3 linked regions of the Cricetulus griseus genome follow. The protein of the gene in region 1 purifies or fractionates together with the protein of each later gene. This does not show direct contact. Links are inferred from orthologs where the notes say so. Each region holds a gene or a part of one and is shown on either strand. Other genes may lie near its edges.

Region 1 (2,471 bases):
ACCTTCCAGACCTCTGCACCATCTGCTTGCTATAAAACTCTACAGAGATTCCTTGTGAAATAGCAGTTTCTTATCTCTTGTCTCTCCCCATCATGCAGGAAGCAAGTCTGGCTGTGCTATTCTATTATCGCTATATATCACCCATCTGCAACACGGTACTGTACAGATACAGATAAGCACAAAGCATGTTATCTAGTTCCCTTTCCCCCAGAAGGTCGAGGCTCAGGTACAGGGGTAATTCTCCTGTGCGTGGTCTTTATTCAGGCTGACTCAGTGACTTCAACAGGCTTAATCATGTGGTCAGGTTTGTTGCCAGCTGCATAATGCTCCCACATCTGCAGATAGAGTCGCTCTAATTCCATTGTGTATTGTTTGGTGTTGAACAAAGGGCTAGATATTCTCTGTTTCCAAACTTTGCCACGAATTTTCTTCAGGCTAGGTAATAAAAACAAAGATAACCAATTTTACAAGTCAGAACAAAAACTCAGAACTAGACCCTATGAATACCTAGTCATTTTTGTGTGAGAATAATATAAAAAATAATAATTCTTAGAAGGGCAGTAGTGGTGCATGCCTTTAATCCCAGCACTTGGGAGACAGAGGCAGTCAGATCTTGTCTACAAAGCGAGTTCCAGGAGGGCTGAACCAAAAATAACACTTTTTTCTGATTGGCCTGTCAACACAAACATCTGGGAAGAGGGAACCTCAAGTGAGAAATTCCACCCACCAGACTGATCTATGGGCATGTCTGTAAGGCATTTTCTTGATTAATGTCAGAGGACCTAAGTCAATATGGGCGGTGTCACTCCTAGCAAGCAGGCTGAGCAATGTCACGGGGAGCAAGCCACCAAGTAGTGTTCCTCCATTTCTGTGCTCTAATTCTTGCTGCCAGGTTCTTGCCTTGGCATCTGTTCATGATGAACTGTGATATGAATACATAAGCCAGATAAACTCTTTCTTCTCCAAGTTGATTTTGGTTATGGAGTTTAACAAAGAAATATATTGAAAGTTGGCTGTCCATTGGTGCTCAACCAAACTGTATTCATATTAATATTAATGCTTCCTTTCAAATAACAAAACAAAAAAGAGCCTATGGACTATTTGTATATTTGGGTGTGTATGCATGTAAAGGCCAGAGGACTCACAGAGGTCGCCTGCCTCTGCCTCCCAAGTGCTGGGGTTAAAGGTGTGTGCTAATAATGTCCAGCAGGGAAAAAAATTAATGCATTAAACATAAAACAAAGAGACAAATTAGAAACACTATTTCATTGAATGAGTGAAGCTCCATTTACCTTAGCATGATCCCTCTAATTCCCACTCATTTTCAGGCAACTAAGTTTTTTTTAATGCTTTTTTGTTGGTGGTGGTGGTGCTTTTTAAAATCCTACTATGAAAAAGTGGAACATCTGATGCTTTTGAAAGTTCTTTATTAAAGTTTACTGATTACTTGAGAGTTTAGACCATGTCCCATGAAGAGAGCATACAACTTAATTCATCTATTTTATATTACTTATGGCTTTATTTTAGCCACATTCTCCATATAGTTTGCTTCTAGCAGTTTACTTACTATTCTAAATCAGTGCCCAATTTCACAGCTATGTCTTCATATTCTTGTCTGCTTTTAGCAATGAGCTCAAGACATCCTAGGCAAGTGAGCTGAGAGGCTGCAACCCGAGAGGCCAGAGTCTCTCCTAGAAGGTAAAGATAATAATGCACATCTTAGAACTGTAAGTCACACAGTCATCAATGTTAATTGCATTTAAGGATCCACACAGTACAGATGAGGAGGATGGTGCCAAGTATTCAAGCTTGAAAAAGTCCCATTTTCTATCATCCCACCTTAATTACTTCTAGTACACACCATTTCACCTTCAAGTACTCTTCTTGACCCAAACGAAAAATTAACGAATAAAGAATGATGCCATGATTTATCAGCCACTTACCTGGCATAGTCACCATGGGTGTTCCTGCCCAGAGAACATCCATCCCTGTAGTGTGCCCATTACATAAGGGAGTGTCCAGGCAGACATCAGCCAGCTGACCTCTCCTGACATGCTCCTCTTTAGGAGCCACGGGTGAAAAAATTATACGGTTCTGGGGAAGGCCCATATTTTGTGCATATTGTTGAATATTAGGTTCTCCTACTGCTGGAAAACGCAACAGCCAAAGCACGCTATTAGGTACACGTTTCAGAATCTTAAAAAAAAAAAAAAAAAAGAAAAAAAAAAGAAAAAAAAAAAGGAAAATGAGAAGATTAATAGTACTTCTGCCCTTTCCCAAAATCATTCTATTTCACTTTATTCTTTACATTGAGAAGCATACTTGAGATGTGGTGATGTAGCTCAGTTGGGATAGTTTGCCTAGCACAAAGTCCTATGACTGACCCCCAACACCACCTAATCTAGGCAACGTGGCACACACCTATAATCCTAGCAGAATTGAAGCAGGAGGTTCCTAAGTTCAAGGAGACC
Region 2 (4,128 bases), on another chromosome or scaffold:
TCATAGGTTCTCTCATTTAGTCCTCACAGTCATCTCAATAAACAAGTATCATTTCCATTTCAGACAGGCAGCTGAGGCCAGGAAGGCTGATGCTCTTGCCCCACAGCCACACAGTCTGTGTGATTACCACAGCCTTCTACTGAGACAAAACAAAGGAACATCTCTCATATATATATATATATATATTTTTTCCCTCAGCCTCATAATTTTAGAGCACAATTCCTGTCAGTCTTGTGGTGAGAGACCTTGTACAGTCTTCATTTGATTACTTGGTCAATTAAAACGTGAAAAGGTAGGCACCAATAGTTTTCCCTACACTGTTGTGAGGGTTACATCAAGTTTTTTTGTGACCAACAGCCACCTATTCTTGGAGGGATGACCTGAAACTAAGGGAGGTCAATGTGAGGGACTGTTATGGAGGAGCCACCGAGGGCATCCTTGGCTCCGGAAGCACATCTGGTGGGAATGCCACTGTTCACTGGATGAAAAGGGGTGTTCAGCCTTGGCGCAGTCTCAGCTCCAAGCAAGCTTCCAAGTGAGACCCTGGCTTTGGGCTCCAGTGAGCACAGGGAGCCCTAGCCTAGGAACCGCCTGTGGATTACTGGGTTACTATCAGACCTTTACTTCCATAGGACACAAGGGTCCTCAGGCCTCTCTCAAACTTATCAGACTGAACCCTGAGACAGCTTTAAATCTAGTTACGCGCCCCTTGGGTCTGTCTGTCCGACACAGCTCAATATCCCCCGTCGGTGAAACGGGCATTTTAAAACAGGCCCAAGCGATGTGTAGCTAGGGCGCCCAGCACGCAAGAAGCCCTGGGTCAGACGCCCAGCAGCCCATACACCGGTTACGGCGGCGCACCTGTAACCCCAGCCCTCAGCAGACAGGGGCAAAGAGACCAGGAGCTCGAGGTCATCGTTCGGTGCGGAGCCAGTTCGATGTTACTCTGCCCGAGAAATAACAGGGGCCCGAGTGGACCAGCGGGAGGAAACCGACCGCTTCGTTACGTACGCGGGGCCGGCAAAGCGCCTGAGTCACCGCTCCCGCTTGTATTTTTCCACCTCCCATCCCGCCCAGGTTTTGGTGGATTCTACGGGAAGCAGCCCGTTACGCCGGGCTCCGCACGCCTGGCCACGCCTCTCTGCGCGGCGCGTCGGCCCCGCCCACAACAGGATCCGCAGATTCGCTACCCGACTCCTTAGGGTTATCTGGGCAGCTTCCCTTGTCTGAGATTTGTCATGAAACTCTGAGGAGACTTTTCCCCCCTGTGAGCATTTCGCCCCGAGTCGGAAGTGGGCTGCTGCTTGAGTTGTGCTAGAAACAAACATCCAGGAGTACTGGCCGACACCGCCAACGGGGCTCGGCTACCCGGGCGTCCTTTTCTCGACTCCACCGCAGGTGAGCGGAGGTGACGGCCAGAGCCCAGCACGGTGGCGAATCTGCAGCGCAGCCTCACAGGCGCTAGAGCTGCGCGAGGAAGGGGCAGGCAAGAGGAGCGAAGGAGCGCGCATCCTGTCCACTCTCTCGCCCCGCCCGCCCGCTCGCTCGCCCGCTCGCCCGCCCGCCTCGCGAATCTGCGTCGCCCGACGCACCACTCAAATCTCCCGAGCTCCGGCCGGCCTCCTCCCCCTCGCTCCGCCCCCCTTCCCTCAGGGGGCCCGTCGCAGCTTTCGTCGCCGCCGATTCGTCACGAACCCCAAGGCCAGAGCAGCTGGATCAGGGTGGTGCAGTCCACTCTCCGGGGGATGCGGCCAATCTTCAGGCTCCCTGGGCTACGACTCCCGAGCCTTACAGGGCGCCGCCCGAGGCAAGGCCGCCACACTCGGCCCCGTGGACCTCTCCGCAGCGCTCGCGGCGAAAGTGCGAATGCAGACGCGGCGCCCGCTGGGCCTCGTGCAGGTGGCGGTGGTGTTTGGTGCGCGCGCCGGGGAGGTGGTGGTGGGGGGGCGCCGCCGCCCCGCTGCGGGGCCGGGTCTCGCGCTGCGCCGCCGCCGCCGCCGCCTCACGCCGCTGAGGTGCTGCGCGCGGTGGGGGAGGGTGAGCCGCTCGCCACGAGCGGGTGAGTAGGGCCCTGGCGCGTGCGTGCGTGCGTGAGTGCGCGGAGCCGGGGTGTGTGTGGGGGGGGCACCGAACGCGCCCGGGCGGGAGGAGAGGGCAGCGGCGCGCGTTACCCGCCCCCCCCCCACCCAGCGCCCGCCCGCTCGCTCGCCCGCTCGCCCGCCCGCCCGGATTCAGGGACCGAAGCTGGGTCTCAGGCTCGGTCTCGCGGTGTTTCCAACGCCCCGAAGAAGTGCCACCTCTGGTCCAGAGGATCGGGGCGCGGGGACGCGAGCGGCTGTGTGGGAGCGGGAGCGGGAGCGGGGCTTGGCCCGGGCCGCTGGCCGGTGAGGAGGCGGGAGGGGGCGGGGCCTGCGAGGGGACGGGGGAGGGGTCTTGCGTGGAGGCCAAGTGGGGCGCGCTAGGGAGAGCGGGAAGGTAAGGGGGCGCGAGATGGGCCCTGGGCCCTGAGGGTAGAATTGGGGGTGGAGAGGAATGGAGTGTTACGGTGAACCTGGGTCCTCAGGGCAGAATCTGAGGGAGCCGTGGGTCATGCTGAGGTATGGAAACCGGACTGTTAGGAGAACCTGGAATCTGGGCAAGCCATTGAGGGGACAGCAACGGAGTCAGGCCGAAGCCTTGGACCCCCATTGCGTATCCCTCTTTTCCTGACAGTGTAAATGAGCAAGGATGGACCAGGAAGGTGGGGGAGATGGGCAGAAAGCCCCGAGCTTCCAGTGGCGGAACTACAAGCTCATAGTGGATCCTGCTCTGGACCCTGCCCTGCGCAGGCCTTCTCAAAAGGTGTACCGCTATGATGGAGTCCACTTCAGTGTCAGTGTGAGTGCACCAGACCTCCTCTTGGCTTCCTTGGTCCTCCCCCCATCCCCCTGTTGAATATCCAACACTAGACCTCCTGTACCTGTAGCTTGGTTTTCTGAGAATGAGCAAGTTACACCAGCTCTTCTGTATGTGGCTTCATAGAGTCAATAGCCTGGTAGATTTTCATGCTGGTCTCATTCTGTTTACTAGGACTCAAAGTATACGCCAGTGGAAGACCTCCAAGACCCCCGCTGCCATGTCAGGTCCAAAAACAGAGACTTTTCTCTCCCAGTTCCGAAGTTTAAGGTAATTATCTGCTGGTCTCCCAGCATGTTGGTTCTCGGAGAGTGTCAAGGATCCTAGCACCCTGGTCTTTTCATAGTCTTCGAAAGTGGCTATTCCAGTGGATCACTGACGACCAGATCATTGCTATTGAGTCCGTGAGGCTGAGATGTTTGGGACAGGAGGTACACTTGCATAGCTGAGGTGTTTCTAGTAGAGGGATGAGGTATAGGGGGATGCCCTAGTTATTCAGCAGTTAGGGGTACTGCTAAGGCCACTGCCCACTTGGTGTCCTTGGTTCCTCACTGTCATTTGGGTATGTGCTCCAACTTGCTTGTAAGAACAGCTCCATTTCCGGATTTAATGGGATATTCTTCAAGCTTTGGACTGAGCCTAGAAAGCTGGTGGTTCTTTGTTTCCTTCCAATTTTGTTTTTTTCATTGATTCTTAATTTATCGGGTGCTTTCACCTCTTTCACTTTCCCTGAGCAGTCTCACTTAAGCTCTGTTTTCTGAATGTTTATTTCCCATACCTATTTCCATCTAACACCTACCCAGACACTAGAGACTTAAACACATTATCCTTATTCTCTCGGTCCTTTTCGTTTTTTTCTTTACTGAAACAGCAACACCAGGTACTCAGGTGCATGAGCTAGAAACCTACGAGTCACCTGGTAGTTATTTCCTTTCCATAGTCATAATCTTTGTCTTTCATTGCTGTTTTCTTCATGCAGAGTCTTATGTATTTCACTTGGTTTTCCTGGCTCCCTCCTCAATTTTAGCTTCTATCTTGCTGTCATTAGTCTCTGGCACTGTTGTTCTTACTTTATGTTCTCATTTTATGTTTCTGAGTGTGTCTTTTCTTTCCTTTGTTTTTTGTTGTTGTTGTTGTTTTGTTTTTGGTATTTTTCAAGACAGGGTTACTCTGTGTATAGCCTCAGCTGTTCTGGATCTCACACTGTAGACTAGGCTAGCCTTGAACTCAGAT
Region 3 (4,211 bases), on another chromosome or scaffold:
TGAGCCAGGGAGGCGCCATGACGTGGAAAATGTCCCTGAGACAGCTGAGAGGGAAGAGGTGGCCTACGATCCAGAAGATGAGACCATCTTAGAGGAAGCTAAAGTGACCATTGATGACCTGCCCAATCGGATGTGTGTGAAAGTCAGCTCCACGGAGAGGCCTGCTGACTTTGCCACCGATGCCACTAATCCCTCTCTAGTAGAGCAACAGAAAATGTTAGAAGAGCTAAATAAGCAGATCGAGGAGCAAAAGAGGCAGCTGGAGGAGCAGGAAGAAGCCCTTAGGCAGCAGAGGGCTGCAGTTGGCGCTTCCATGGCACACTTCTCTGTGTCAGATGCACTGATGTCACCACCTCCCAAGTCCTCCCTGGCCAAGACAGACCTGTTCTCTCAGGAACAGCAGGCCCAGGACCCAAGTCATGGAGCCCTGGGTGCCAACCACAGCTTAGACTCCAGACACAGTAGGGACCCGAGGCAGGCCAGGAGGCTGGCTGCTGAGAACACCGAGAGTGAGCCTCTTCCCAGGGCTCCCACAGGAAGCACACCTGGCCCACAAGGCACCCTCCCTGCCAGGGAGATGCCTGCTGCTGGGACTGCAGCAGTCCAGGGACCTGCCCTAGCTCCTGAAGCCAAGGAGTCAGAGGCTGTTCCCTGGGCTCCGGGTGAAAACGCTGTGTTGAGGCCTGAACATGATATGCAGAAGTGTGAGCACCCTGGTAACCCTGTCTCCTTGCCCCTGGACAACAGCCACCTTCCTGCTGCTGGTGATGGTGCATCCAGGCCCACAGCGCCCCGAAGAGTGCTACTGCCCACGCCTCCTAGCACCGCCTTTCCACCCAGCTTCCCTTTGCAGCCTGAAGCACAGAATTTCACCTCCGGAGGCAGGGAGCCGTTTCCAGGACCTATGTTTCTGTCTCAGGAAACATCTCTTGGCTCATCCCAATACGAGGACACTCGGGGTGCTCAGTCTGCTGGGAGGAGTGACAGCCCAGTGGCTGATACTGAGGACAGCAGGGAGCCACAGCTCAGGACTGGCGAGGGAACTACTCAATTCCCCCAGCCTGGGCAGAGGGGAGGGGGCCCTCAGCCGCAGTTTCCTGCCCAGCGGGAACCTTTGCCACGCACTTTTGGGATGTCAGGACACCATGGCCCTGGTTTCCCAGGACCTAGGGGGCCAGTCCCTCCCTTTTCAGAAGAGAGTATTGTTCCTAATAATGATGGACCAAGGGGCCCTCCACCTGCCCGATTTGGGGCCCAGAAGCCACCAATCCCTTCCTTATTCTCTGGGCAACATGGGCCACCTCCCTATGGGGACAACAGGGGACTCTCACCTTCTTACCTTGGTGGGCCCAGAGGAGGAGCACCAGCCCAGTTTGAAGAACGCAAAGACCCACATGGGGAGAAGAGGGAATTCCAGGATACACCATACAACGAGATGGCAGGTGCCCCTGCTCAGTGTGAAGGACCGGACCAGGCCCAGTTCATGGGGAACAGGGCACCCTTCCAATTTGGAGGCCAGAGACGGCCCCTGCTGACTCAGATGAAAGGGCCCCGTGGAGGGCCTCCGCCATCTCAGTTTGGAGGCCAAAGGGGACCACCACCTGGCCATTTTGTGGGCCCACGTGGGCCACATCCTAGTCAGTTCGAGACTCCCCGGGGCCCGCACCCTGGCCAATTTGAAGGACCCAGGGGCCAAGCACCAGGTTTCATGCCCGGCCCCCGTGGTGTTCAGCCCCAGCAGTTCGAAGAGCAGAGGGTGAACTCACCGCCACGGTTTGCAGGTCAGAGGGCACCTGCACCCCTGCCGTATGGAGGACCACGGGGGCCCGCACCCTTTGCTGAGAAAAATGAACAGCCACCTTCTCGATTTCACTTCCAAGGCCAGTCTTCCCAGCCCGTAAAGCCTCCCCCTCGGCCCCTGCTGGAGCTACCAAGCCACCCTCCTCAGCACAGGAAGGACCGATGGGATGATGCAGGCCCGGCCACTGCCCTGCCTTCCGGTGCTGGGTCTGGGCAGGGCCCCGAGGCTGACGGGCAGTGGGCCACGCCTGAGTTCCGAGAAGGCAAAGGGCATGAGTATAGGAGCCCAGCTTTTGAAGGGAGACAGAGGGAGCGGTTTGAAGGAGGACCTAAAGAGAAGCCTCTGGATGAGCCTGAAGCTCAAGGGTTGGAGAATCGGCAGGGCCGGGCGTTTGAGGATCGGAGGCGAGAGCGAGGCCGAAACTGGAGTCGGGAGAGAGACTGGGAGAGGAGCCGGGAGTGGGACCGGCACCGGGAGTGGGACAAAGGCAGAGACAGGAGCTCCAACAGGGACAGGGAGAGAGACGCCGACCGGGCTAAGGACTGGGACCGAAACCGGGAGAGAAGCAGGAATCGCGACCGTGACCGGGAAAGGCGGCGAGACCGAGACAGGTCCCGGAGCAGGGACCGAGACAGGGACCGTGAGAGAGCCCGGGACCGGGACCGGGACCGAGGCCGGGACCGGAAGGACCGTAGCAAGAGCAGAGAGAGCCCTCGGGATCTGAAGTCTGAGGCTAGGACCTCTGATGGGGGCCCCGCCACAGCCCAGGCCTAGAGGCCATTGCACTCAGGGCTGGTGACAAGACAGAGACACGCTGGTGAGGACAAAGACCTCGTGTCAGCTATTGTTAATAGAGGCTTAGCCTGGCAAAGACCCCTTTAAAAGCCAAGTACATAAAATGTGTTGAGCAAAGAGTTTTTGAAATAGCTATGAACTTAGATGCAGGATATAATATTCTGGACTTCAGGAATTACTGTAATTTTGTGTATAATGGTTTGTTACAAAATTTCCCAACTTTACAATTCTGATGTTTTTTTAATAACTTAATGTTTCCATTTAAAATTACAGAAATGGGAAAGTATCTACAAAAGCATATTGCTTTTTTTTTTTCAGATTATAAAGTTATCTTTTCCAATAACTTGACTGGTGTAAGTCTTAAGGGAATTTCAGTGGACCGTAGAGCTAGCTTTCCCTGTGCTGCCATCTCTGCTTCCGTGTATCCTGACCTGTCCGGGGGCTCTCAGTGCTGTCCTGGATGGAAAGCACTGTTGAGGGGGTGAGCTGCGGTGTGTGCTTGCAGTGGGAGAACGGTCTTCCTAGGCCTGGTTCCCCACAACGCATTCTTTAGAAGTTTTTTCAAAACATAATTAGAAATAATCCGTCCCAGTGGAAATTGTTACATTTTAAATAACAATTTATTTTTAAATGTTCAAATTTATCAGCCTAAAGAAGAAGCAAAAAGAGTTCAGAGTAGCTTAAGAGGGAAGAGGCAGGAGCCATTCAGAAAAGCATTGCCCGGTGCTGTCCTCTGAGTGGCTCTCTCAGGCCCCAGACAGGTGATGGGTTTGGAAGCTTCTCGGTGAGATGTGGCAATGTTTGTACCAAATCTGGAAGAGGACTGAGGGTGAAACAGACTGCTTCGTAGCCTTTAGGCTACTCTGCTGTTGCCACGTAGCCCCTCTGAAAATACCGTGAGAAGGTTGGCTAACTTATTTGACTGTGCAAATATGTTTGATAGTTCATTTTATATTTTCATAAACTTACTTTTTCAGATAGAGAATTAGAGAGCTTCGTTTGTTCTTTGGAGTCTTTTATTTCATTGTACATCACTACAGATTTTTTTTTCACTTTATAGCACAAATTTTTTAAGTTGAGAAGACATGAAAAAAATAGCAATTTGGGATATTTGCTATTACAAACCAAATGTCAGTAGTTTAAATTACATGAAAGTGTCAGTTTCAACATCTAAAAAGATGTGAAGTTTTTTTTAACATATAAAGTAAAATTTTCTAACTTAAATGCACAAGCATAAAAATCAAGTGTGTTTCTTTAGGTTTACTTGGTAGAAATTTCTGTACATTGTATTTTGTATTGCAGAGTGTTATATCACTGTCCATTTAAACACAGGACTTCATAGGTTTTGTTACTTGAAGTAGAATAAATATCTACAGAGTTCTTGTCTCTCTCTTCACTTAGCCTTGACCCCCAGTTGTCACAGGTGCAGGCACAAGCTTCCCACTCCCAACTAGCAGCCTGTGTTGGATGCTGCCTGCTGTATGGTGTCAGGACCCAAGGAGCAATGTGCTGGCCAGCATCCTATATAGAACCCTGATTGCATATGTGTGGGCTTGCAGGAAGCCTGCAAGTGTCACTGAAGGCAACCCGTGTTGGAGCTGGATGTAGTAAATGC

Evidence for each region.
Region 2: the proteins of Ogt (region 1) and Setd1a purify together in Homo sapiens (affinity purification with mass spectrometry; 4 studies listed by BioGRID and IntAct, with this or other methods). This does not show direct contact. The link is inferred for Cricetulus griseus from reciprocal best matches to the Homo sapiens genes OGT and SETD1A.
Region 3: the proteins of Ogt (region 1) and Dido1 purify together in Homo sapiens (affinity purification with mass spectrometry; 3 studies listed by BioGRID and IntAct, with this or other methods). This does not show direct contact. The link is inferred for Cricetulus griseus from reciprocal best matches to the Homo sapiens genes OGT and DIDO1.

What each region holds. Positions count from the first base shown.
Region 1 is NC_048604.1:68,602,578-68,605,048, forward strand, and holds part of Ogt (UDP-N-acetylglucosamine--peptide N-acetylglucosaminyltransferase 110 kDa subunit), read right to left. Parts: intron 2,197-2,471; coding exon 1,944-2,196; intron 1,692-1,943; coding exon 1,568-1,691; intron 436-1,567; coding exon 261-435; 3' UTR 1-260. UniProt on the Homo sapiens protein: Catalyzes the transfer of a single N-acetylglucosamine from UDP-GlcNAc to a serine or threonine residue in cytoplasmic and nuclear proteins resulting in their modification with a beta-linked N-acetylglucosamine (O-GlcNAc).
Region 2 is NC_048596.1:72,993,988-72,998,115, reverse strand, and holds the start of Setd1a (histone-lysine N-methyltransferase SETD1A), read left to right. Parts: upstream 1-1,203; 5' UTR 1,204-1,398; intron 1,399-1,677; exon of another isoform or gene 1,678-1,899; intron 1,900-1,911; exon of another isoform or gene 1,912-2,059; intron 2,060-2,243; exon of another isoform or gene 2,244-2,384; intron 2,385-2,712; 5' UTR 2,713-2,727; coding exon 2,728-2,877; intron 2,878-3,069; coding exon 3,070-3,165; intron 3,166-4,128. UniProt on the Homo sapiens protein: Histone methyltransferase that catalyzes methyl group transfer from S-adenosyl-L-methionine to the epsilon-amino group of 'Lys-4' of histone H3 (H3K4) via a non-processive mechanism.
Region 3 is NC_048599.1:1,273,109-1,277,319, forward strand, and holds the end of Dido1 (death-inducer obliterator 1), read left to right. Parts: coding exon 1-2,575; 3' UTR 2,576-3,578; downstream 3,579-4,211. UniProt on the Homo sapiens protein: Putative transcription factor, weakly pro-apoptotic when overexpressed. Tumor suppressor. Required for early embryonic stem cell development.